Cricetulus griseus: one gene and its partners. The protein of the gene in region 7 interacts with the protein of the main gene of each other region in a pairwise test. Links are inferred from orthologs where the notes say so. Each region holds a gene or a part of one and is shown on either strand. Other genes may lie near its edges.

Region 1 (3,938 bases), on a different chromosome or scaffold from region 7:
AGAATTATCCTCTTCCTGCTTTTCAACACCAGCTGCTTACTTAAGTGACCTAGAGATGACTGCTGACTAAGCCTGGCTGGCCATGAAAAATCTCCAGACAGCAGTGACCTCTTCCTTCCATATTCTTCTGCCTTCCAAGATCCAGGTCCCACAGCACAGGAAGTAGGCCTGAAAGGACCAGAACAAACCCAAGACTCCTCAAACACCTTTTCTCCTTGACTGCTAAGCTGGCGCTGGGAGCTAGGGACAAAGTCATGCCAGGGGTAGATGGATCTTTCTAATCTTTCTATGGCATGGCAGTAATGAAGGCTTTGTGTCAGCTTGCTAGATTAAGAAACACCCAGGGCATTAGCAAGGCACACATCCTTGATGTGTCTGTGGGGACTTTATGGGGAAGGACTAACAGAGGGGAGGCCCATACTTAATGTGGCTAGTGCTTGAAGGGACCAGCTTCCCTTTTGGCAGCCATAATGACCAAACACGTGCTCTATGACCTTGTCTTAGTCACTAGAAAGTCAGATGCCTGCCTCGTGACAAGGAAACAATCAGAAGTTAGTCACTAGAAAGTCAGATGCCTGCCTCGTGACAAGGAGCCAATCAGAAGTTAGCTGATAGCGCTATGCTTTATGACCCTGGGTGTGCTTTATGGACAAGCGCACAGCAATGACGCACAAAGCATAGCAACCACCCTGGGAGGGCCTATGGGCCATAACAGCCAGTTGACCAATCAACACAGGGCAAACCCTCCAAGCCTGGAGGCACACCAATCCTGAGCCTGTGCATACCCCTAAACACTCCCCTTATGCTGCCCTATAAAGATCTGTATGCAGCAGCTTCAAACTGTCTTTGCTAGCCATCTGCCATGGTGGGTGGGTCAAAGACCCGAGCTAACATGGTGTTAGCTCGTTAAACTACAATAAAGCCTCATGCAATTTGCATCTAGCTTTCGCCTCCATTCTGTGATTGGGGTGGCCGAGGTCCTGGGCTAAGATTCTGGAAGCCTCAGCTTTCCAAGGGTCTTACAGTGCTCATGAACTAGCATCCTGGACTGAGAAAAACATGGATCTGCAGTGATGTGAGGCAGCGGCCCCACCCCATAGCTTCCACTTCACAACAGATTTACCCCTCAACCAAGATCCAAAATAAAGACTTCCTCCCTTAACTTGCTTCTTGCCAGGTATTTGGTCACAACAATGTGAACAGCAAGTAATACACCTACTTTCAAATCTTATTCCCAGCCCCATTCCCACTCCCACATCTGGGCTGGTATCTCCTGTCTGCCCCTAACATGTGGGCTAATAAAGGTACCAAAGGAACCACGGCCACCCTCATGCACAGATGTGTAGTTTATGTGTCAGGGATCAGACCTAGCAAGGTTCCTTGTTCTTCTATAGGATGCCCAGGACATAGTTGCCTAATAATCTGGCTTAGCTATCATGAGCTGAAAGAGATGTAACTGTGGCTGCTTACTACAATGCTGTAAGGAAAAAAAATACCCAGGTGGTTCTCTTGTCCTGTGTTTCTGTCTCCTTCTCACCATATTTGCTGAGCTCATTATAATTACACTAATAGAGAACACCAGCCAGAGATCCATCCTCTTTGTACATACCTCCTGAGACCAAACTTTTAGGGAAATTACCTGTGCCTTGGATCCCTCCATCCTACATTTCTCCTCCACTGGTTGCATGACCCTGGTCTTCCAATGAGCTCTTGGGTAACACTGGAGAAAGCAAGGCCACCCCTTTGTGACATAGCAACAGAAGGAACACTCAAGTAAAAGGGGGTCCCACTGAGAAAGTTGCTGTGTGCAGGAGATCTGGAGACCACAAGCTATAAGTGTTTTAATCATTCACTGGCTTCAAAAGAAACAAGTGAACATTCATCCCCAGTAAACCATCTTTGGCCCATGGCAGGGCTTAATCCTCTTGACCATTGCAAGTGGGCTCCATTCTGGGGTTTCAGCTCCTGTGTTCATTCTTATGCATCTGGATTCAAGGTTGACTCTAGTTCTCTACAGATGTCCTGAGTGGTTATACACTACCATGCAATGAAGGGTCTCCTTTGGGAAGGTTAGACTTTTGTCATAGTATCAACAAATCTTGAAAGGCTAGTGCTGGAGGACCTGACCATCCAACTCAGTCTCCTCATTCAAGGCCAGAGGACCCCAAGGTTCAGAGAATCCATGTGTCCTCCTCAAGACAAATGGGCAGGAAAACAACACCAACATGACAAGAATCTGAGTGGCTGACTTCGCTGTTCATTCTGTAAGGCTTGGAAACAGGGTTATTCTAGCAAGTTACATTCTTCCATGATTGTCCCTACCTGAGGTAGAACCACATTGATTGGAATTTCTAGGCTTTCAGATCTGGTATCTCTCTTTCTTGTAAAAATTGGCCTCGAGTGCTGTGAAAAAGAAAGAATCAGATTTCTCCTTCTCAACCCATCCTCAGGGCCTCAGTGGCTCACCTGAAACACATAACCTCTTTCTACACATTTATGTCCTTCTGACTAATTTTATACCTTATAAAAATCACAGTCTCAAGGCATGTGTACATGGCGCCTGGCCAGAAGTCTTACTGCTCAGTGATCAGGAACTGATCGACACTGATCACTGAACAAAAAACCAAGACAGGAATGAACTGATATGAAGCCCTCTTACAAGAAGAAATCATTGCAGCTCTTCCTGGTTTTACACTACGATTTCTATATAAGTAAAAAGCCATACCAATGTGAGGTGCCAGGTATAGGTCCTATGCATAAGCTGGTCACCAAAACACTCAGAACATTCCAGAGGTGACATCACAGAACAATATGGTGTTTTTCTGAGCTCATGGTTTCTCTCCGGGCATCTCAGGTGGGAACGAGGCTTCTGCAGGAAGGAAGAATTGCTGCTGGCTGTGCTCAGGTGGCCAGCCCGGGTCAGTGTGACACACAATAGCCCTTGTTTGGTCAGCTGGCTGCCACTCACACCTCACTGCCAGGCTGGCTTGAACCTCTCTACCTCCCATCAGAGGTGGCATCTGTTTCAATCACATTAATTAGGAAAAGAGAAACATTAACTGTCTAGACCTGGAGAGACTTGGCACTACTGAGGAACTCCAGTCCAGTTCCACTCTGATAATAGCTACATGTCAGGTTCCGAGAAGTTAGGGGCTCGGCCCTAAAAGATGATCTTTTACTTCAAGTACCAATCCCATATCAGGGCCACCTGTACTTGTAACTGGTTAGCCATGCAGGGGTTACCCTAAGCTGCTCCTCAGGTTCAATAGCTGTCTCTCAGAACACAGGAGAGTAATTTACTTAGGATCACAACTTTAAGAAGCATGCAGCTCAGGAGGGGCCAAATGGTAATGATAAAGGGTGAGCTGTTTGACAGGGTAGTGTCGTAAACCTTCTGGCCTTCTCTGGACACACCTGCCTCCCAGCATCTTCAATGTCTGAACCCAGTTGTTTAGAGGTATTTGTGGAGTTCCATTATGTAGGCAAATTTTATCAAATCATTAGCCTTTGATCACTTAACTAAATGTCAAATCCTTCCAGAGGTAGACGTTTGCTGAAAATTCCAACCTTCTAATCACCTGATTGGTTCCTCTGACAATCACCCCCCACCCCCAAAGTCATTCCCCTAGCATAAACTGATGTGTTTCAAAGGAGGTCCTGTCAGGAAATCCCAAGGGTTTAAGAAACACTGTTCTGATAGAAAAATACAACCAAACATATCACATGTAGAACCTGCATTAAGGCCAGAACACTCATCCCTCCATCCTTAGCTCTGTCAAATCTGTCACCTCCAGATCCATTTAAGAGCCCCAGTTCTGTGTGATTTTGCCCCTTGGGGTAGGAAGAGAGTAGGTTTCCGGGGTTTCCTCAATGAAACCCATGTTCCTGGGGTCTGGATCAGTCCCATGCTGGTAACCCAGCTATCAGTCTGGGGAGCA
Region 2 (3,500 bases), on a different chromosome or scaffold from region 7:
GGCAGGCTCCAAAGTTACAGAGAAACCCTGTCTCAAAAACCAACCAACCGCTCAGTGGTTAAGAGCACTGACTACTCTTCTAGAGGACTGGGGTTCAATTCCCAGCACCCACATGGCAGCTCACAGCTGTCTGTAACTCCAGTCCCAGGAGACCTGACGTTATACAGACATACATAAAGGCAAAACACCAATGCACATGAAATAAAAATAAAAAATTAAACAAAACAAAAACAAACAAACAAAAAACCAAATAAATAAAAAAGCCAAAAAATAAAAGTAAATATTTTTTAGGAAGGCTACTATTGAAGCCTAGTAATGGAAGGCATACTCTCTACTACTTTAAATTCCAGCATTAATATAGAAACCAAACTAAGAAATAATAGAAAAACAAACACAAACTGTGTCTCGAGGGGGAAGAGAGGAGGCTGTGACACTTGTAACTACTTCTTTCTGATATATGAGGCACCCAAAGGTAGTTCTGAATGAAGTGGCTTGAGGCTCCTCTTGGCCCGGCCCAAACCCTCTGGTTACCTTTTCCATTTCTTGCTTGAATGTGGTAAACACTTCACTGCTTTTGGAAAGTGTATTCTGGAACTCCTCAAACTTCTCTGTGTACAGGGCGAGCTGGGTGAGAGATAAGCACAGAGATGAGGCTGGACTTCTTTGAAAGCATCTCTGGGTAACACATTCAATTCAAGTATCCCTTTGGCCCTTGATAAAACCATTCGACTGAGACACCATTTCCTAGTAAAACAGAACCAAAGCGGTGCACAGGAAGGATGTGCTCCAACAAAAAGAAACTAGAAGGTAAGCTTGAGAAGACTTCAGCACATAGAGATTCTGACACTGGTCTCTTAAAAATACAAAACAAAGGGAAGCAGTAGTGCACACTTTAATCCCAGTACTTGGGAGACAGAGGTGGGTGATCTCTTTGAGTTAGAGTCCAGCCTGGTCTAAAGAGTGAGTTCCAGGACAGGCTCCAAAATTACAGAGAAACCCAGTCTTGAAAAACCAAAAAAAGAAAACAAAAAACAAAACAAATAACAACAACAAAAGAGTAAAAAACAAAACAAAAACAAAAAATGATGAGGCTGGAGAAAATGGCTCATCAGTTAAGAGAACTGGCTGTTTTCCACAGGATGTGGATTTAATTCCCAGCACCCATGTGGAGACCACAACCCTAACTCCAGCTTCAACCACGCATAACCACCTCCTGGCAACCTTTTCTTTCCTTTTTTTTTAAAAAATTTACTTATTATGTACACAGTGTTCTGTCTGCATATATGCCTGCAGGCCACAAAAGGACACCAGATCTCATTATAGATGGTTGTGAGCCACCATGTGGTTGCTGGAAATTGAACTCAGGACCTCTGGAAGAACAGTCGGTGCTCTTAACCTCTGAGCTATCTCTCCAGTGCCCCCAACTTTTTCTTAAATAAAAGGCTTGATTGAGACGAACACAGCAGTTGGCTCAGAACAAGCATAAGATGAGGGTCTTGTTGTCACAACCCTAAAGATGGGGCCACATGACTGCAGGTAAGGTTCCAGTCTCACCTGCTGCTTCAAGTGAGTCTCCTGCTGCTTCATCAGCTCGCACATCCTCTGGGACTCCACTGCTTCTTTCAGGAGCTATTTCCAAGACAGGACCCCAGAACCTGTCAGCAGCCCCTGGGGGGTATGTTTGGCCTTCTTTAGCCACAAGCACTGGACCCACTGAGGCTACCTGCTTTCAGACTGTCATCTGAACAGGCAGTTATGGGACCGGGCAGGCAAATCCTCTCCCACCCATATGAACTAGACTCTGAGCTAAGCCAAAACCCAGCCCACTTCCTTGTATCCCAACCACAGCCCTGGGGGGCCTGAGCCTCACAAACTCCTTCTCCCGCTGGTGCCGCTCCTCTGCCTCCTTCAGCATCTCCTGGGCCTGCTGGAGTTTGGCATCCACTAGCTGCTGCTGCAGGTCCTTATGTTTGAAGACTTTGTCGATATGCTGTAGAAAAGGTATTAATGGGATCTGCTTGTCAGGAGTACCCCTTCAAGGAAGCCCCAACTCTAGAACACAAGGACTTTATCCAGTCTCATCTTGATCCCACTGTCCTTGGGAGGTCACTTTCCTAACCTCAACCTAATGTGTAGATAGGACACTATACCTCTACTGTACAACTGAGTATTTCTACAGATCCCTGGTTCAGACACCAGAGGGAAGGCCCTGTGGGCCAAATGTTTTCTCTCCATTTCAGTGCCTTGTCTATGAATCACATCTTTTGAAGAGCAAGAATAGGCCTGCAGAGTGCTGCCCCAGTGCCTCTGGCACTCACTAGAGCCTCACAAGCTGCTGACCACCTCACCTCTTCACGAAGCTCATATTGCTCAATCAACTTCTTGAGCCTCTCCGCCAGTTCCATATTCTCTTGGCGCAGCTTGGAGTTTCGCTCGTTATGCTGCTCCATCTGCAGCTGAATGTCATTCAGTGTCACCTGGAAGTGTGAAGTCACCTCTTTTCGTTTCTCCTCCTCCTCACGGGCTCGCTGCACACCTTCTTCCTGAAGAAAGAAGCCAGCCCTTGAACCATCATCCACAGCTCTAAGCTCTATACAAAGCACCCCTAACTAGTCCAGTCTTTGCCGACAGAGCTACTGGCCCCACAATGAGAAGCACGGAGGCTCCAGGATGTTATAAATCAGGTGACATCAATTGAGTTTCTCCTTTTGAACCAGACGGTGTGGCACACAACTTTGAGGGTTAGGTTATGGGGGAGGTCCTTCTGTGTATGCATTTGTCTTCTTGGTTGATAAAGCACTGTTGGCCAATAGGAAAGCAACATAGGCAGAACTAGGAGAGAAGGAGGATTCTGGAAAATGTAGGAAAGTGTCAGAGTCACCATGTGATCCCCGGGAAGACAGGACGCATAAGGCCAGCATCTTCGTTAAGTCTTTATAAAATATATAGATTAATGATTATGGTTGATAATTAAGACTGAGCTAGCAGATAAGAAATCCTAGCTATTGGCCAGCAGCATTGTACCTAATACTAATCTCTGTGTGTTATTTTGGGCACCCATGTGATGGTGGGGCTCAGGAGGCTTGTGGAAAGAGTTATTGTTACAGTTAGGGTTAGGTTAGAGAAACCATGTCTCGCACCCCCACCCCCCCACACAAAAAAGAATACTCAGCATACATGTTAAGTGCCATTCTGAAGCAGTCTGGATCTTCTGAATTCGTGTTCCCAGATTCTAGATTAAGTATTCCTGCTCATTTCCCATAGAAAACAAAATGATAAAATGTGCTGATGATAAAATCCTGTCTCTTTTTTTATTAAACATTCTGTCATCTTAAAGCAATTTTAAAAATAATTCTATTTACTGCTTGTGTGTACACATGCATACCATGGTCCACATGTGAAGGTCAGAGGATAGCTAGCTGTAGGAGTGGGTTATCTCCTTTCACTATGGGGGTCCCAGGGATTGAACACAGGCTATCAGGTTTGGCAGTAATTACCTC
Region 3 (2,909 bases), on a different chromosome or scaffold from region 7:
CTCTGTCACCTTGGGATTTAACAACCTCAGGCAGGCTCTGTGCCTTGGTTTCTCAGGCTGTGAATGAAGCAGACTTAGGAGAGTTGTCTCTCCCAGGGCTTTTAGGATCAGGAGAGCACCCATGTCTGCAAGCAGAGCTCTGAGCAGAGGAAACATTGCGTAGGTTTTTGCTCTAATTACTGTTGGTCTGTGTGCTCCTGGCCACCCTTCTATTAGACTTGCCCATCTCTGGGAACCTTCTGAGACTGGGGGAAGGGAGTAGTAGTACTAGCCATCCTCAGGAACAGGCTGCTACAGAGATGCCTGAGCTGGGTACAGAGGCCAGGACATGTCCCTACTACGCACCCCAATATGGGCCTACACTGAGAGGCACTGGAATCAGAAAAGTAGGGGCCTGGTCTGTCTGATTCTGACTCAAGGCAGATGCAGGGAGATCCCAATGGGGAGGACGGGTGGTGTGGCCAGCTGTCCTCTAAACTCTCATGCTTCTTTCCTAGATTTTCTGGGTGGGGCCATTCATTGGGGGTGCCCTGGCAGTGCTGATCTATGACTTCATCCTGGCCCCACGCAGCAGCGACCTCACAGACCGCCTGAAGGTGTGGACCAGTGGCCAGGTGGAGGAGTATGACCTGGATGCTGATGACCTCAACTCCAGGGTGGAGATGAAGCCCAAATAGAGGAGGCTTGGCCTAGGCATCCATGTGGGGGTGGGGCAGGGATGGGCGGAGGGAGGGGAGGGCTGAAATCATATTGTAGATGCTCTGACAAGCTGACCAAAGTCACTCCCCAAGACCTGCCTGACCTGAGTGGTCCCGCCTTGTCCGGGGCAGCAATATCACTGTCTTTCTTTCTGTTTCCTGGTCTCAGAGCTTCCTGGGGATCAAGATTTACCAACTCAGCACCTCATTCCATTCCCATCATAGAGGGGTGAAAGGGAGGAGCTCACCTGCTATTGTCCCCTCAGAGAGTGCTAGGAAGTCCCCCTCATCCCAAAGTTGCCCAGCAAGTCACCCACCTCAGGTGCCTGGGATTCTGCTGTTGTTGCTTTGTGCCTTTGATCATGACCTTCCTTGAGTAGGCATCTTGTCCCCAAAGACCCTTTGAGGGAGAGGAGGTCCCCCAACATTTGCCTTTGGTCTGACTTATCTCCAGGACCTATGCCCTTAGACTCACTATAGGACCTTGAAATTGTCCCAATGCTGGGGCCTCAGTGACCACGTATGTCAAGTGGCAAGGAAGGGACAGTTACGGGGACTCATTAAGTGTGGACATACCACAGGTTCTAGAAGGAACATTGTAGACAGCACTGCTGTGTCTACCTGGCCTGAGCTCTTTCCCAACATCCAAAGCCCATGAGCACATGTGGATGAGCTTTGAAGCAGAGATGTAGTTCAGGATGCTGGAAGTGCCTGTTCACCAGAGAGGCTTTCTTTAGTAGGTTTGCTGTAGCAGAATGAAGGCCGTTTTGTGGTGGAAGAAAAGTTCACACCATTATCTAGCTCTACTTGGTCTGCCCATCTAGCATGGCCTTGACTGGATAGTTTTTTTTTTTCAGTTCTCCAGCTCCCCTTGCAGTGTAGATTTGAGGAATGTGTTTATTAAAGAGCATTCAGCTATCCGCAGCACCGTGTCCAAGGAGGGAAGCAGCTGGATGTGGAGCAGTCCTGGGACAGACGCCCATGCTGAGTATGCAGGGGCTTGGCTCGCCCTAGTTCACATCATGATCAAGGAGGCCATTCCTGCCCTGGCTTATGATATGCTGGCTGGCTGCATTTGGTCAGAGCCTGGACAACCTGAACAGGCTCACTGTGTGACCCTACACATAGTCTTCTTTCCTTATTGACCTGATGATGCTTGTGCTTCAGCCCAAGGACAACTCAGAGCATAGTCAGCTCAGGGGTTGGCATCTTGAATTCAGCTCCCTAGGTTGGTCCATTCATCAGGCCAGAGTGGCTCCACCACTGTGCCCTTGACCTTGTGAACATAAACCGAGAGATACATTCTTCAGGTTCTTAGAAGTGGCAGGACAGTTAGGAGGCCTATGGCTGCACGCTCTTCTCCATTCCCTAGCAGGCACTGTAGCCCACTTAACAGATAAGGACACTGAGGACCCATGTGCCCAACTAGATCATATTGGGTCAATCTTAGCAGCCAAGGCCTTGTCTGTCCACTCCCTGGTCAATGAAGTGGTCTCCTCTCCCCTCCAGTTTCTCAGTTTCTGCCTGGGTAATGGCTAAGGGCCAAGGTGTGGTGAGGGAGGGACATGCTGGAGAAGGCGGGGCAGGCCCATCCCACCTGGTTCTGACCACTATGATCAAGGACCCCTCATCTGTCTGCTCTGTACATGTTTCTTTGCAATTGAAATTTCATCTTATGGTAAGAAAATAAAGGACAATGACTTGTAAGGTCTTCCGGGCTCCCTGTGGTTTTTGCTATGTTGGTATTGTATCCTCACAGAGGAAGTGATCCCTACCCTGGTCTCACTGCTATGCCACTCAGTCTGGGAAGAAGGCAGATGTCCTTGGGTCCTAAGGGGATGGGTACAGCTACAGCACCGGCCCTAGGGGGCACAGGGTCTTAATCTTAATAGGGAGACTTCTGAGGATGAGGAGATCTTGGGACAACTAGGGGGAAGTGAAGGAAAATTTGGAGCCAATTTAAATGGCATGATAGGAGCCATTTTGGGTTCTGGAAGATGGAAGAGTTAGGGAAAGCAGGGTTGAGGTCATACCCCTGTTAGCCCCTCTGTTCTCAGGGCAGAGTCTCAGGGCAGAGGCTTTGCCAGGCCTCTACCCTCTCTCAGCTCACCCGGAAAGCCTCACCTATACTTGTGTCTTGGGACTCCCAGGGGAGCTTTTGGGGGTTGACTTATCAGAGAAAATTCCTCCTGTGTTATGCTATACTGAGAT
Region 4 (3,500 bases), about 23 Mb from region 7:
CCCAGGCTTCCCGATCAGCTTCCACACTGCCAGTCCTATGATGCGCTGGCTGCCTGCCAAGTTAGTTCCACAGCACAGCTGCCCCACCAGTCAGCAGCAGACTCCTGTCCCTACTTGAAATACTTGACACCTGCAGTAGGGCCAGGAGAGAAGAAAGCTACAAACAGAACACCCAGTTCTTGTTGACAGTATCAGGCCTTTGAGGCTGCCCAGCATCGCTTGGAGTACCGCCAAGCCACACACAGTGGCGGGGTGGGAGTATGGACAGCAGCTCCTCAATTCCCAACTCTCAGAAGGTAGTGATGGAACAGGATAGCCATACGCCTCTGCTCAATAATCGACACATCCTACCCAGCAGCTTCCTTGCTTTGCTCTAAGAGTCTCTTCTGCCGCAACACCACCAAAACAAGTGGCTCTCTCTTGGGCTGGAGAGATGGTTCAGTGGTTAAGAGCACTGGACTGTTCTTCCAAAGGTCCTGGGTTCAATTCCCAGCAACCACATGGTGGCTCACAACCACCTTGAATGAGATCTGGTGACCACTTTAAAAAAAAAAATATTAAAAGAAAAAAAAGAAGTGGCTCTCTGTAGGCCTTGACACGGCAAGCCTGTGTGTGGCACTATCACTTAAATCAGTGGTTCTCAACCTGTGGGTCACGACCCCAAGAGGCTATTGGAAAATACAGAAGTTTGCATTATCCACAACAGTAAAAAACTGCAGTTATGAAGTAGCATAGAAAATAATTATTCTATGGTTGGGGGTCACTACAACATGAGGAACTGTATTAAAGGGTCACAGCATTAGGAAGGTTGAGAACCACTGACTTAAATAAATGAAGATCCCTTCTCCAATCTTTCCACCAAAGTCTTCTAACCGGAGACCCACCAGGACAGAACAGGCGTGTGCACACGGAACAGTACTGGGAGGAACCCAGGGCTTTGCACATACTGGGGAAGAACTGCTGAGCTACCCGGGCCGTAAGCCATGGCTCTTACAAACAGAGCTGGTACGTGTTTCCCAGGTATTCTCCAAGCCGCGACTCCAACTTACACACATCTTATTTATAATATGTCAACTCAAGTGGCAGAACCAAGCTGTCTTCAGCAACAGCACCATCTGGTGGTCCATATGGCAAGCCATCTGACTGTGTTTTCGAGTCACAGCTTTCTTTTACCGCCCTCCAAGGACCAGGGTATACACACATTAAGCTTCCTACCTCTTGATGCTCAAACTCCAGAGGCTAGGTCTAGTTCAGTCCAACTCCCTTTACACTTCCTTTCCTCCTGCCTGTCCTTAATTCAAAAATCACTGACTACATTATAATCCCCAACTCACCCCTTAAAAATACCTAATGGGGTTCAGAAATAATTAAGTCCTTTGTTGAGGAGGAACTCTCAAAATCCACTTACCTTTCCGTTCCCTGAGAAGGACACTCCGGTGTTCTTTCACTTCTGAGCTCAGATTATCCACCATCTTATTAATGCAATTGTCTAGAACCAGGGAGTGGGTTTTGGACTCAATATCCTTTCGACAAATGGGACACTCTAGTTTCCGTTTCATCCATTCACTGATACAGAAGGAGCAGAAACTGTGGGCGCAGTTCAGGGTGACAGCCTGCAGTGTGAAAGGGACACACAAGGACACTTGACACTCTACTTTCTCAAAGCCAGAATAGGAGCAAATCTGCAAGGCCAAAAGGAAAGCTCACCAGCCCCATCTTACAAAAATGCTCTCAGTAGGAACGCATGCCTTTAATCCCAGCGCTCGGGAGGCAGAAGTAGGCTGAGTTTGAGGCCAGCCTGGTTTACAGAGTGAGTTCCAGGATAGACAGGGCTGTCTTGAAAAAACAAACAAACAAACAAAAAGATGCCCACTCCCCACCCTTTCCTATCTCCCTTTCTTATCTTCTGCTAGTTTCCAGAGTCCTGAGCAATGCTGAGTTTCTCCCCAGCAGGGAATCACCAGACTGGAAACTGCAGAAACCGATGACCTATAGTCAGTGTGAATCCACAGGCACAGACACTTCTCCTGGGAGATTCCACAAAGGCTAACACCTCCAACATCCTGGAGATTGCCTCAGAACACGACTCCTCTGTACGTGTGTTTTCCTTTCCAAAGCTATCTGAAGCCCTGCCATTTGACAGCAGTATAAAATGAATTGGTTACAAATGCTAGAAATTAATGAAAACTAAAAGCTGGTGACGACGTGACAAATGGTAGCCTAGGAGAGAGATGCTTCATTTTCAAAAGGATCCTCAAAGCCCTGAAATATGCACTCTGGCCCCTGAATGCCCCACAGTAACCACACAATCAATGGCATTCCAAAGGACACACTACAAGTCCACACTGAGCAGTGTGCCCATCCAGAGCAAAGAAAGGACAGCGTTAGTGGTCAGCTTTATCCCAATACTTCAACTGTGCTAAGTAAACATCCAAGAAGAGAAAAAGCACAGTGAAGACGGCATGATGCAATGAGGAGTGGCCACCTTCTGATGTCACCTTGAGATCAAACAGCTCTAGGTTTCTAAACAAAATTCCCTCCAGCGTGACTCCCTGTAGCAGCAGCAGCCTGGAAGGCTGGTGAACCGTGTGAGGCGGGGGCCAGCCACCGTGCATACTTAACTCAATGAAGTACTCGGAGCATATGATACACTGCAGCTCATTCTCCAGCACGTCGTTCACATGGCTGAGAACCTCCTCCTTCTGAGCTTGCACCTTCTCCTTTTCTTCCTGCAAAGACACAATGCCACCTGTCACCTGGGGAAATGAGGCAGAATGCAGGACCGGGTGAGCACAAGGTACGCTGAGTAGAGCAAATGCCTTCCGGTGCAAAGGGCTTCCAGTGTAACGATGCAAGAGAAACTCCCTGAGAACTGCCCCTTAACACAGAACACTAGCTCCGTCTTTCCCTTTGTTGTGGCCAATTCCCGCTGAAAGCTAACCTGCAGTGTGACAGCAAGAAGGGGCGAAGCCCACCTAAGGGTGAGTGACCTAGGACAAAGCCTGCAAGAGCTGGCCCTGCTCTTGCTCACACCCTGCTCCCATGTGAAGAAGACAGGGTCAGTGTCATCCGTGAACCAAGATCATGTCCTCACCAGACTCACATCTGCCCTCACCTTCTTGGGACTTCCCAGCCTGCAGAACTTGGAAAGATAAATTTCTGTTGCTAATTAGCTACCCAGTTTACGGCATTTTAACTACAGCAGCCCGGATGAACTAAAACACTTACTTTTCCAGCACCTGTATTATATGTCCTTTGGTTCCTTTCCCCCAAATTAGCCAAAGTGGGTGGGGGAGCACTAAAATATTCTCTAGCAAGGTACAACCCAAGTAATAAAAACTTTTCCCTATACTAAAAATTCACATGACAAGATATAAAGAGCACTCAGGAGGCAGGGGGCTGGAGTGAGCTGTGTGGTTCCTTGTGCTGTCAAACAGTATCTTTGATGAGCAAAGGATAATACCTATGTTCCTCTGGGCATGGCTGGAAAGATGGCCTCC
Region 5 (2,258 bases), on a different chromosome or scaffold from region 7:
GCATGCATTTTCTTCTGAGACCTTCACTCCCATAAAACAAGGCTTCCAAGCAGAATTTCTGGTCATCAGCAGTGTCTTCTAAGTTACCATACTAAAAGCCAAACTTGCCAGTGAGGCTCCAACCAATTTCCAAGCTTCTCCAAGGCTTCTTTTGTATTCAGAGTCAATGAGGATGGCTTCCCTGCCCTTCCCTCCATCCAATTCCTCCCATCTTCCAATTCCACCCCTCCACCTAAGCCACCCCCACAGAGATGTGCTCACTGTAAGTCACTGATTCATACACCCATTGCAAACCACAACTTCCATCCTCCACCCTTTCGTTAGTATGTTGCAGACACCTCTAACTCAGAAAGACAAAGTGAAAAGAATTAGAACAACCAACTTTCACTTAAACACTTTATTAGTATTCATGGAACCAGGGGAGTTTCCTCTGCTATTAGCCATCATGGTCCTAGCTGAGTTCATGAGGCTTCCCACCCTTGGGTTCTGTCCCCAATTCTTTAGCCATTCCTTCTGGGTCCAGGCATCTCATCAAACAGAGAGAAAGGTGCATTCTTGAAGGCATGAGAATGGTCATGGTCGTTGTCCCCTTGCCTCTCTCTGTCTTGTGGGATGTCTTGCTGGCTGTTGATGTTGGCTTCGGAGCCCACCACCTCCAGGATATAGTCAGTAATGTAATCAAGCATGGCGAGGAGGAAATCTGAAGTGGTAGAGCCTAGGCAGGGTGTATATTGCTCCTCCTGCAGTAGATGGTACACATAGTTCACAGGAATCTGTACCTCGGGCTTAGAAGAAGGATCTTCCATCTTCTTGTTGTCACTGCAAGACTTTCCTTGGTTCTTCTTCCCTGACATGATGGTTTGATGGCTTGGGCTCCGGCAAGCTGTGCTTGGCCCACCAGCAGGACTGGCTCTCGGGAGACAATGTTCAGCCCTGCTCATTGCATCCCCAGTTTCTACTCATTGGTCAGCAGCTACCTTTATGACATCTTGGACTTTGAGATGTCATTGGTGTCTGGGCACCAATGGGCTCAGACTAGGCCTCAGTCTAGAAATGTCTGTCACAGCAGTTTCACCTCCCTGCCCTGATTTTGAGAAACATTTAACTCCCCTCAATTACAGTCAAATTAACATTGTAGAAATAACATGTTTTAATTGGAAACTGTCTTTATAACCTTTCATTAATTAGAGGGTACTGGTAAACATATCAAATATACTTTCCAGGTAGAGGTTTGACTGACCTCTTCAAACTGTTGGAGTATGCAAAAAGGAAACTGGGAAAGGAGGAATATTCTGAAAGAGGAAGTTTAGATCCTTCAGACACTAAAACATCATCAAGTAATCCCCAAATTTCCTGTCCCAGCTCAGTTAAAGGTAAACCATTAGAGCACCTTGGGGCCTTAAATTAACCACATTAAATAAGTATCTGTGCCTCCCTAGTCCAAAGCTAACAAAAGATACAATATCACTCATGTTAACAAACTTGGTTAGCCATCTCCTATCTCAAACACCCATCGTGAGGATGGAAACCACACAGAACACATTTGAAACTGACTTTCTAGACAAATCCAACAGTAATCAATGTGGTTCTTTCTTCCTGTGTTCTCCAGAGGAGGTGGAACAGTTTCCACACTCACTACTCAAGATATCCCGGGCAGACTGCTGGTTTCCAACCTCAACACATCTGACTATCTGATATGTCTGTACACCCAGCTGGTGATACTGTGTGCTCAGTTAACAATCTAAAGTTTACCCTTCTGCTTTTTAATAAAAGCTTCCCTATCCTTACCCCTAGTCTCTGTTTCATTCTTTGGGAAAGTGCTCTAACTAACGGAGGAACTACTAACCTTAGATTGTCTCATCCAAACAACCTCAATGATTCCCCAGGAACAGATTTGGTTCTGTAACATAGATGTGTAAGGGCTAGTAAATATAATGTGATACCCCCCCTCGCTGAATCTGTAGCTTAAGGTACCACTCCACCTCCCCTAGTACCCTCCTGGAGCATATTTATTCTTCCATATCTCCTCTAACTGTTTCCCTTGTGGTAAGTACCCACTACTTCCTCCAACTACTTCCTTGTTTGGCTTTGGAATACTCTTTCTAGGGGTTCCTTCTAGGGGGTAGGATATCTGAATGAGTCAAAAGGAATCACACTATTGACTTTAAATTAGAAAAAAATTAATATATGAAACTGTGTATAAATATGCACATATAGTTTAGATGAAATTTTCTCAACTGGGCTGAAAATGAGGCCTG
Region 6 (3,946 bases), on a different chromosome or scaffold from region 7:
TCAGACCATCTGGGAACCAGAGTATTTAATATATGTGAGTCATTCTCCTTCAGAAAACCCCACATGCTAGGATTATATTCCCACAGCATTTCCTATCAAGTCACCTGAGCAATGGTCAGCTAGGTATCCTGGTGTTTGTAGTCCTAGGATACAGTACTAAATTGACCTAGATTATGCAAGTGTAGTTGGTTATTCATCGATATTTCTGCTTTACACGAGTCTACCCCACCCCCAACCCCCAACACTTTCTATGTGTAATCCTGGCTGTTCTGGAATTCACTCTATAGACCAGGCTGGCCTCAAACAGATCTGTCTGCCTCTGCCTCCTGCTGCTGGAACTAAAGGAGTGCACCACCACGCCCAGGTTTGCATGAGTTCTTATAGTAAGGGTCTAGGAATATTTAAAATCCATTAGTACCACAGGGAGCACATCCAAGGCCAGAGGACAGACCTGGCCAAGCATCAACTATATAAGTACTTTTTGCGATTTACCAATGTTGCCCTGGAAGCCAAGACCATTTGTTCTACCCACTCAGCTCAACAGTTACATACAAAATGTCTGTACAAGGGTTCCAGGAGTGTAGATGGTGCTTTGGTTGGTAGTCAGTTTGGAGAACTGTGTGCTGCTGCTGCCAACTCTCAGTTTGGTGGCTCCACAAATGGGCTGGAGAATGGGGCCACTCACTCCACTATTTCCACAGCCTCCTCACCAGCACTGTCTGAAAGCTCTTCCGCAGACTCTTTCTCCAGTAAACAGCTTCTTGAGACAGACTTCCTAATGGCTTCCCGCTCCCCTAGAGGAACGGAAGACATCCTTGGTCATCAATCATCTTACCACTGAGCCTCAGGCACCACCTGCCCTGGCCTGTTGCCTACCTTCATCAGTGCAATTCTGCAACAGGATCAACAGCTGTCTCCGGTTGTACTGAATCAGGAATTTCTGACAGGTTCTAATAGTACCTGGTGCATGACAGAGCTTCAGTGGACAACGGCTTGTGAAACAGTCACTCTTTAGGGGGCGGTGGGTCGGTGGGTGGGTGGGTGGGAGGAGCATCTTGTTCTTAGTGGGACAGCAGTAAGACCCACCCACCCACCTGCCAGGACTGAGCCCCAAACAGCCACCTTACACAAGCTACCATCACTCTTACCTCCCACGTGTAACGTGTTGAAAAAACACGGATATCGGTGTCCTTTGTTCTCCAGATATGTAATGAAAGGGAGAGCTGACCACACAAGCTGGTAGAAATCCTTTCGGCATCGCAGTAGCACTACTCCAGTGTAGGCATTGAGGTATCGAACTACAGTAGGAAGCGAAAACTGGAGAACTTCCCATTTACAGGAATAGAAAAAAAAAAAAAAAAAAAACCCGGAAAATCCCAGTATATGCCAGTGACTGTTCTAGACAAATGTCTGGGTGGATGCATCACTGAGTAAATTTGTGATGTTTTGCCCTTTGGGACCAGAGTTAGATAGTCGCCATGTGGTGCTGGGAATGGAACCTTGGTCCTCTGAAAGAGCCACAAATGCTCTTAACTGCTGAGTCCTCTCCAGCCCCACCAGTCTCACTTAAAAAAAAAAAAAAAAATTGTTGAAAGGTTATTTCCTTTGAAACAGTCCCATTATGTCATCCTAGCTACACCAAAACCTGTCTGCCACGATGCTCAGCTTGAAATTTTATGATAAACCTTCCAGTGACCATCACTCAGGTCAATATATAAAGTGAGAGAGAAGTTCTACGGCCGTCCCATTTCAGCAGGAAGTAACTTGGAGGATGATAGGCCGCCCCTCCCTTCCCCCATTATTGTCTATTAGGGTAGTGCTAGTTAGGGATAGCTTACTATTGTTTATGGTTGGGATTGGAAGGAGGTGTCCAAAAACAGCAGGGGGAAAAAAAAAACTTTCCGGTAAAACAGGTGTCTTTACAACCGGTTTCTGTGGGTAGGTCCCTCTTTAACGTAGTCTCACCCAAAGCAAGAATTTGTTTACGTGTGTTTAATTCTGCAGAATTCACGTTTAAGATTACGGTAAAACGAGACCAGCCTGGTCTGCAAGAGCTAGTTCCAGGACAGCCTCCAAAGCCTGTCTCAAAAAAACAAAAAACAAAAACAAAAAAAAAAAAAAAGGAAAGAAAAAAGATTAAAGTAAAAGAAGCTAAAATGTGACATTCGGAGAAAAAGAAAGCTTTCGAGTTCAGCACATCTTTCCACATGAGAGTTCCTGTGCACTCGTCCGTCCGTCCGTCCGTCAGAGGCGCTTTAAACTTTAAGGGATAAATCTGACATTTTAAAACGTGCTAACGTAACCTATCAGGTCAGAACTTTTACGAGGAATTCTACACGGCTACTTTGACCTAGCCCAGTAACTTAAACGGAATACCCTCCACCACCACCCCCGCCCCCGTGCTGGGTATTGAACCTTCCGCCCTGGGATGCTGCGCGATTCCCAGGCTTTTCTAGAATCCTCCAGTATCCTGCCAACCGCGCCGTGCGCCCCGGCCGCGGCGCCCCCGTACCTGCAAAGCCCACCGAACAGGCGGCTGCGCCGAAGGTCCCGTGCACCCGGGCGATCGTGTCGCGGACGAGGCCGCCAAGCACGCGGTCGTCCAGGCTCAGGCGGCAGCGCGCGTCCTCCGACACCAGCTCGCACAGAAGGTACCTGCGGGGGACTGAGGTGAGCGCGGCCCGGACACGCCGCCGCCGCCGCCGCCGCCGCCGCCGCGGGTGCGGGGAGGACGACACTCACCTGTGCTTGAACCGCACCATGGCGTCCGCGCCGGATGAGGCAGGGAGGCGGGACTGGGCCCGATAGGCCCAGTGCCCTGTCAATCCCCGCGCCCCGCCTCCCGCGGAAAGTGTAAGAGCGCATGCGTCCGCCTCAGCCTGGCGCTGGGGATTTCTCACTCAACTTGTACGTGAGCTTGTGTTCCCCAACGGCGGACCGATTTTGAGGCCAGGCCTGCACGTAAAGCCCGAGAATGCCGCGGGAATCGGGGCCTTTACAGAAGTCAGAGCAGAGGTTTTCCCATACAGCCAAATACGCTAACTCTTTAGGAGCTCCCGCAGTTTCGTGGAGGTTTTTGTCAATTGGTTTGCAAAAACAATGTAGTACTTTCCCTCCCTCCCTCCCGTCTTTTCTTTCTTTGTCTTATGTTCCCCAAGCTAACCTCAGAATGGCTGTGTAGCCAAGGGTGACCCCAAGTTTCTGATTCCCCTGTCTCTTCCTAGCAGGTGCTGGGATTACCACTATGTGCCACTCACCACACCCAGCCCCTTTGTTTTCTGTAAGAATAGGGATGGTGAGCCCAGGACAGCCAAGGCTACACAGAGGAAACCAGAACAAACGGGGCGGGATGGGGACAGGTTATTCATTTGAATATCTTTTTGTGATTTAAAAAAACAAAAACAAAAACAGGATCTCATTCTACCTCAGACTGGAGTAGAGCTGGAAGCAATTATGCCTCAATTTCCCAAGAGCTGGGATTACAGGGTGTGCCACCATACTAGGTTCATTTCACTTAATCTTGTATGTAAAGTGCATATTCTTTTCGTTGTTTTTTGAGACAGGGTTTCTCTGTTTAACAGCCCTGACTGTCCTGGAGCTCACTCTTTAAACCAGGCTGGCCCCGGCCTCCGGAGTGCTGGGATTAAAGGCATACACCACTAGGCCAGTAAAGTGCATATTCTTACGTGTGCTACTGAGTGAAGACGATTCATATGACATAGATAGCACTTTAGTACTCTGTAAGTTCCCAGGCCCTCACCAAAGTCCTTAGAAAGAAAGAGCCACCATTCCCACTTCTGTGGAGCTGGATAGGTGTTGCCAGATCTTGGCCTTGATGTATGCATTTTACAGCATACCTGTTCCGTGCAACATGGCTATAAGTCTGCTGCTTGCATGTATTTTCATGTCACCTGTGCTGCCACAAATTTATCCCTCATCTGCCCAG
Region 7 (4,129 bases):
TAGCTCAGATTTAGTTATTATCCCCAGGGCTTGGATTTCATGTTGTTGCCAATCAGATGATTGTCTTAAAAAACAAAACAAACCCATAGTTTACCAATATCTTACTTAAGAAAATTATAAAAGTACCTTGAGAAATAAATTCTCTGAGAATGAAGCTCCTTTAAAATGAAATCACTGACATTAAAAACAAAAAACAATTCAAGAATTAGATGAAATATACTTTATGTGATTTTGCTCACAGTCTACATTTTAGCAACTATCCAACATATAAATGACTCCTTCAGACATCTCTGTATCTACATACATAAAGGGAGGTAAATAAACCTAGCAATTTCCAAATTTCTAAGCCTGGGCCACCTCCCATTTTCCGTAGCCATTTCCCTAGATTTGGGCACCTTATCTTCTCCTGTTTCAGTCTGCTCTTCATTAACACAATGAAAACCAAGATGCTGAACATTTGTACTCTTCATTGGCATTTTGGTCACCATTTTTGAAACACTAAATTACATTGATTAAACATTAACATATTTAGGCAATGAGGATTTTAGGGAGAAAAAAAAGTAAGTGATCCTAGAATAAAATTATACAAAATATAGTTCAAAACTATAAGCCTTACTTCACAGCTTTCCAGATGCCAGGGCTAGACAGACATACAGAAATGTTAAGACAGACTTCCCAAATCAACCTTTATCACCTAGAAAAGGGGATGTGTGAACTACTCCCGAGATTTAAGATTCCAAGTCTGATCTTATTTTAGGTTTCAGACCCATCTGACTCAACACAATTCTTTCCTTTCATTCATATCCCATTTTTCCGGGACATGTGATTTTTATCTAATACTTTTTCCTTGTAGAAACACATTGACCTTTACATTATGTCTACCTCTGGTAGTGATATTTCTGGCAATAAAGTATGGCCCCAGAACACATCCTCTTCACCACCAGCAGAATAAATATTTTCAAGAGTAAGATTCAAGTACAGCTTGGATCTGTAGGTGGAGGAGAAAAATGATATGACAGGAAAGAAAAACATGAAGACATTAAAAAAGATCATAGAAAAATGTTTTCAAGGAAGGATTTCCCAGTTTTTTTAAAAAATAAGTAAGCACTAAAATTAAGATTATTAATTGAAGCTGATCAAATATTGATACATGATTCACACTTCATCTTAGTCAAAAGGCCAAGAAGCAAATTTCTACAAATTTCTGAGATGAAAAAAAAATGCTACTGAAAAATAAAACTGATTTACATTTTCACTTTATATTATGTATCATAGCACATTAAGTAAATAAAGTATGCAGATTCGATCACTAAGGTCCCAATAGTCTACCCAGCTTTCTGAAGAGTTCTGAGCAAATCAAATCTGCCAACTGAATTTCTGAAAAAGGTTGTGGGAAAGGCACAACATGGATTTGGTGGGCAGTGGGAATTGAACCCAGGGCCTTGGAATAACACCTAATGGCTCTACTACCGAGCTAGATGCCCAGGCCAGCAGTTTAAGCTTTTTCGTTTTAAACTCAGCTCAGTCTCATAGTTGTTGCAGGTCTTTAAACATATAAGCTATCACTGGACTCAAAAATCATTTTGTTCAGTATGAAGTAACTAGACTTTAATAAAAACGGTGGATAACTAAGATTTTTGAGATCTAGCGCAATGTATCTAAAAACCAAAGTTTTAGATAGAGGAATACAGATCTGTAGAAATTAAAGGTACAAAGCCCCCCAGTAATAGATACTAGTAAAATGTTGTTGTAAGAGAAAAGTTCTGACGAGGGATAAAAAAAGGGAGTTAGCTAGAGCAAACGGCAGCAATGATGGCTCAATGGGACCGCTGCGTTTGTGTATGAAACTGTTTTTTAAAAATGCTTGCAAGTAATTCTGTAAAATAGTCTAGTGCAGTCATGAGTCCAGAATAAATGTTAAGATTAGTTTTCTTCATAGAGAGAAAAAAAAAAATCTGTAGTCCTCAAAGTAGATGGAGAATTCTTTAAATTCATGAAAACGAAAGCAAAGAGAACACGAAGTACTTTTACTCTTCTAGCCAGTCTAGATGTATCCTGGGCTGAAAAGACAAAGGAGACCCCAGAGTGCCTTTAACCTCCCAGTATTAAGTCGCAAACCAGTTCTAAGAGGTGGACTATGATTCCTCCTACTTGGTTGCCTCCCAAAGCATCTACCAGCTGGGTACATAAGCAAGTGCCATATAGGATCTCCCTCTTGCCCCTAGACTTAGAAGGATGAGACAGCAGACCTGATCATAGGCCTACAACTCAGGAACCCGGGGGAGTGAGTGCAGCAGCATTCAGGAGACCTCTGTCCCAGCCAGAGCAGCACAGCCTGTCCGCAGACTCCGGCTCACCCAGCAGCCGCCAAGCCGAAGAGAAGGGTTCCCAAGGCGACCGCACCAACACGGAAGGAGACGGGAGCATAAGTAGCTCGAGAAAGTGGCGGGAACCAGGTGTCCGGCCCCAGAGCCCTAGCGCCCGCGCTCCAGGGCTCCTCTCGCGCCGACCGTTTGGATTTGGAACCGTGGGTACCAGCGCGCCGCGAAAAGTGGCTACACACGGGCTGCCCCTCACTCTCAGATTCCGCGGTGCAGATTCCATACTCCGCCCGAGCGGCTTCCTCGGGAGACTCAATTCCCATGAGAACCTCATCAATTATACAACTGACGCTGAGTGTCATGTTTCAGATTAGCGTAACTCGGATGGGAACGGTCGTTCAGAAGGGGAAGCGGGAAAGAAAGACCGTACGGCGAATCGGACACGACGAAAACGAAGTCCTTATTCTTTAAGGGGCCCCGCTCCCCGACGTCACTTCCGGCAACAATAGGAAACGTCAAAAACCTTGCCCTGCCTGCCACTCCGGCTCCTGCAGACGGAGGTGCTCTGAATTCCCGGGAGGCTGGGGCTGGGGCTGGTGCTGGTGCTGGTGCCCTCGCAGCCGCCGTGCTCTCCAGCGTGAACACGCGCGGTCTGGACGGGCCTCTCCATGGCTTGGGCGTCGGTTCCCGGCTGAGCCATTTTCTTTGCGGCTGACGGCCCCCGCCCAGAGGCAGAGTCGTCGCGGCGGCGGCGGGGATCGCAGGTCGTTCAGGTACTAGCGTCGGCCCGGATGCCTCCAAAGCCTGGTCTCTCCCGCCTGCGCTCTTTCACTTTTATGCTCGGAAATGAAAAACGAGGGGTGCTTGCCACTTGGCAGCACCGGGGGGTAGGCGATAGTTTAGGACCAATGGCACGCCGAGACGCTTTGAGTGACAGCGGCGCTGGCTTATGAACACTGCGTGTCGCCGTCAGGAGGCGGGCGTAGGTCTCGGGGTTTCTAGGCCAGGGGTATAGAGGTCAACTTGGGACTTGCAGGAGCGACGCGATGCTGTCCTCCAAGAATGCGGGCAAACGGTGAAGGTTACTTACCTCAGGTTGCTTTCATGGTGGTGGCTGTGTTATTAGGCGCCCAGGCACGCTTTGACATTTTTTTGTTTCCTTTTTACGACATCCCAATAAATACGAATCCAAATATGTACAGTTTAGGATCACTGCTGTTTGCTAGTTGCCACAGTCCCCCAATTTGAGAATAAATTTGGTTAAACTCTTGTCTTTTGTTTTCCTACACGTTCCACGTGATATATACTTAATACATATTGCTCGACAGACAAAAAACAAAAACAAAACAAGCAAACCCATGATCCATTTGCACTTCCTGTTCGATATATTTTAAGCTTGCGTTCTGTAATGGCTTATTAATAATTGTGGCTAAATGGTTTACATGCCAGACGTTTATTTTTACGAACCCCCACCCCTGCTGCTCTCGTCAAAGCATTGCCTATATTACTGCAATTGAATACACTTTGTTTTTCCGTTTCAGCATTTGCGCTCCCTTTACCCTTTTATTTTGAGACAGGGTCTCCTATGTACTCCAGGCTGGTGTAGAATTCTCTGTGTAGCCCCGACTGTCCCTAGCTAGCAATCCTTCCAACTTGGCCTCCCAAGGCTGAGACTATGGATGTGTAACAGCCCACTAACCCCTCTTTCGTTTCATGTTTGTACTAAGAGAGAAACTTCCTATTACCTTTGTGAAAATGGTTTGCAAAATAAGAGTTTCAGAATGAAGAATAAATAAATTTATTGTTTT

The links.
Region 1: the proteins of Cep44 (region 7) and Cby2 interact in binary tests that used the Homo sapiens proteins (3 or more experiments, as listed by UniProt). The two-hybrid records come from large-scale screens. The link is inferred for Cricetulus griseus from reciprocal best matches to the Homo sapiens genes CEP44 and CBY2.
Region 2: the proteins of Cep44 (region 7) and Txlna interact in binary tests that used the Homo sapiens proteins (3 or more experiments, as listed by UniProt). The two-hybrid records come from large-scale screens. The link is inferred for Cricetulus griseus from reciprocal best matches to the Homo sapiens genes CEP44 and TXLNA.
Region 3: the proteins of Cep44 (region 7) and Aqp1 interact in binary tests that used the Homo sapiens proteins (3 or more experiments, as listed by UniProt). The link is inferred for Cricetulus griseus from reciprocal best matches to the Homo sapiens genes CEP44 and AQP1.
Region 4: the proteins of Cep44 (region 7) and Rnf8 interact in binary tests that used the Homo sapiens proteins (3 or more experiments, as listed by UniProt). The two-hybrid records come from large-scale screens. The link is inferred for Cricetulus griseus from reciprocal best matches to the Homo sapiens genes CEP44 and RNF8.
Region 5: the proteins of Cep44 (region 7) and huntingtin-interacting protein M interact in binary tests that used the Homo sapiens proteins (3 or more experiments, as listed by UniProt). The two-hybrid records come from large-scale screens. The link is inferred for Cricetulus griseus from reciprocal best matches to the Homo sapiens genes CEP44 and H2AP.
Region 6: the proteins of Cep44 (region 7) and Pop5 interact in binary tests that used the Homo sapiens proteins (3 or more experiments, as listed by UniProt). The two-hybrid records come from large-scale screens. The link is inferred for Cricetulus griseus from reciprocal best matches to the Homo sapiens genes CEP44 and POP5.

The regions. Positions count from the first base shown.
Region 1 is NW_023276807.1:229,960,913-229,964,850, forward strand, and holds the start of Cby2 (protein chibby homolog 2), read right to left. Parts: upstream 2,801-3,938; coding exon 2,726-2,800; intron 2,404-2,725; coding exon 2,323-2,403; intron 1,688-2,322; coding exon of another isoform or gene 1,640-1,687; intron 1-1,639.
Region 2 is NC_048595.1:23,404,282-23,407,781, reverse strand, and holds part of Txlna (alpha-taxilin), read right to left. Parts: intron 2,544-3,500; coding exon 2,349-2,543; intron 1,991-2,348; coding exon 1,871-1,990; intron 1,630-1,870; coding exon 1,555-1,629; intron 625-1,554; coding exon 532-624; intron 1-531. UniProt on the Homo sapiens protein: May be involved in intracellular vesicle traffic and potentially in calcium-dependent exocytosis in neuroendocrine cells.
Region 3 is NC_048601.1:85,971,847-85,974,755, reverse strand, and holds the end of Aqp1 (aquaporin-1), read left to right. Parts: intron 1-497; coding exon 498-677; 3' UTR 678-2,409; downstream 2,410-2,909. UniProt on the Homo sapiens protein: Forms a water channel that facilitates the transport of water across cell membranes, playing a crucial role in water homeostasis in various tissues.
Region 4 is NW_023276806.1:258,092,300-258,095,799, reverse strand, and holds part of Rnf8 (E3 ubiquitin-protein ligase RNF8), read right to left. Parts: intron 2,730-3,500; coding exon 2,622-2,729; intron 1,614-2,621; coding exon 1,409-1,613; intron 1-1,408. UniProt on the Homo sapiens protein: E3 ubiquitin-protein ligase that plays a key role in DNA damage signaling via 2 distinct roles: by mediating the 'Lys-63'-linked ubiquitination of histones H2A and H2AX and promoting the recruitment of DNA repair proteins at double-strand breaks (DSBs) sites, and by catalyzing 'Lys-48'-linked ubiquitination to remove target proteins from DNA damage sites.
Region 5 is NC_048604.1:115,609,487-115,611,744, reverse strand, and holds huntingtin-interacting protein M, read right to left. Parts: upstream 855-2,258; coding exon 501-854; downstream 1-500.
Region 6 is NC_048597.1:94,815,587-94,819,532, reverse strand, and holds Pop5 (ribonuclease P/MRP protein subunit POP5), read right to left. Parts: upstream 2,801-3,946; 5' UTR 2,763-2,800; coding exon 2,743-2,762; intron 2,656-2,742; coding exon 2,513-2,655; intron 1,299-2,512; coding exon 1,149-1,298; intron 961-1,148; coding exon 877-960; intron 795-876; coding exon 682-794; 3' UTR 9-681; downstream 1-8. UniProt on the Homo sapiens protein: Component of ribonuclease P, a protein complex that generates mature tRNA molecules by cleaving their 5'-ends. Also a component of the MRP ribonuclease complex, which cleaves pre-rRNA sequences.
Region 7 is NW_023276806.1:234,964,390-234,968,518, forward strand, and holds the start of Cep44 (centrosomal protein of 44 kDa), read right to left. Parts: upstream 2,801-4,129; 5' UTR 2,358-2,800; exon of another isoform or gene 2,250-2,357; intron 175-2,249; exon of another isoform or gene 127-174; intron 1-126. UniProt on the Homo sapiens protein: Centriole-enriched microtubule-binding protein involved in centriole biogenesis. In collaboration with CEP295 and POC1B, is required for the centriole-to-centrosome conversion by ensuring the formation of bona fide centriole wall.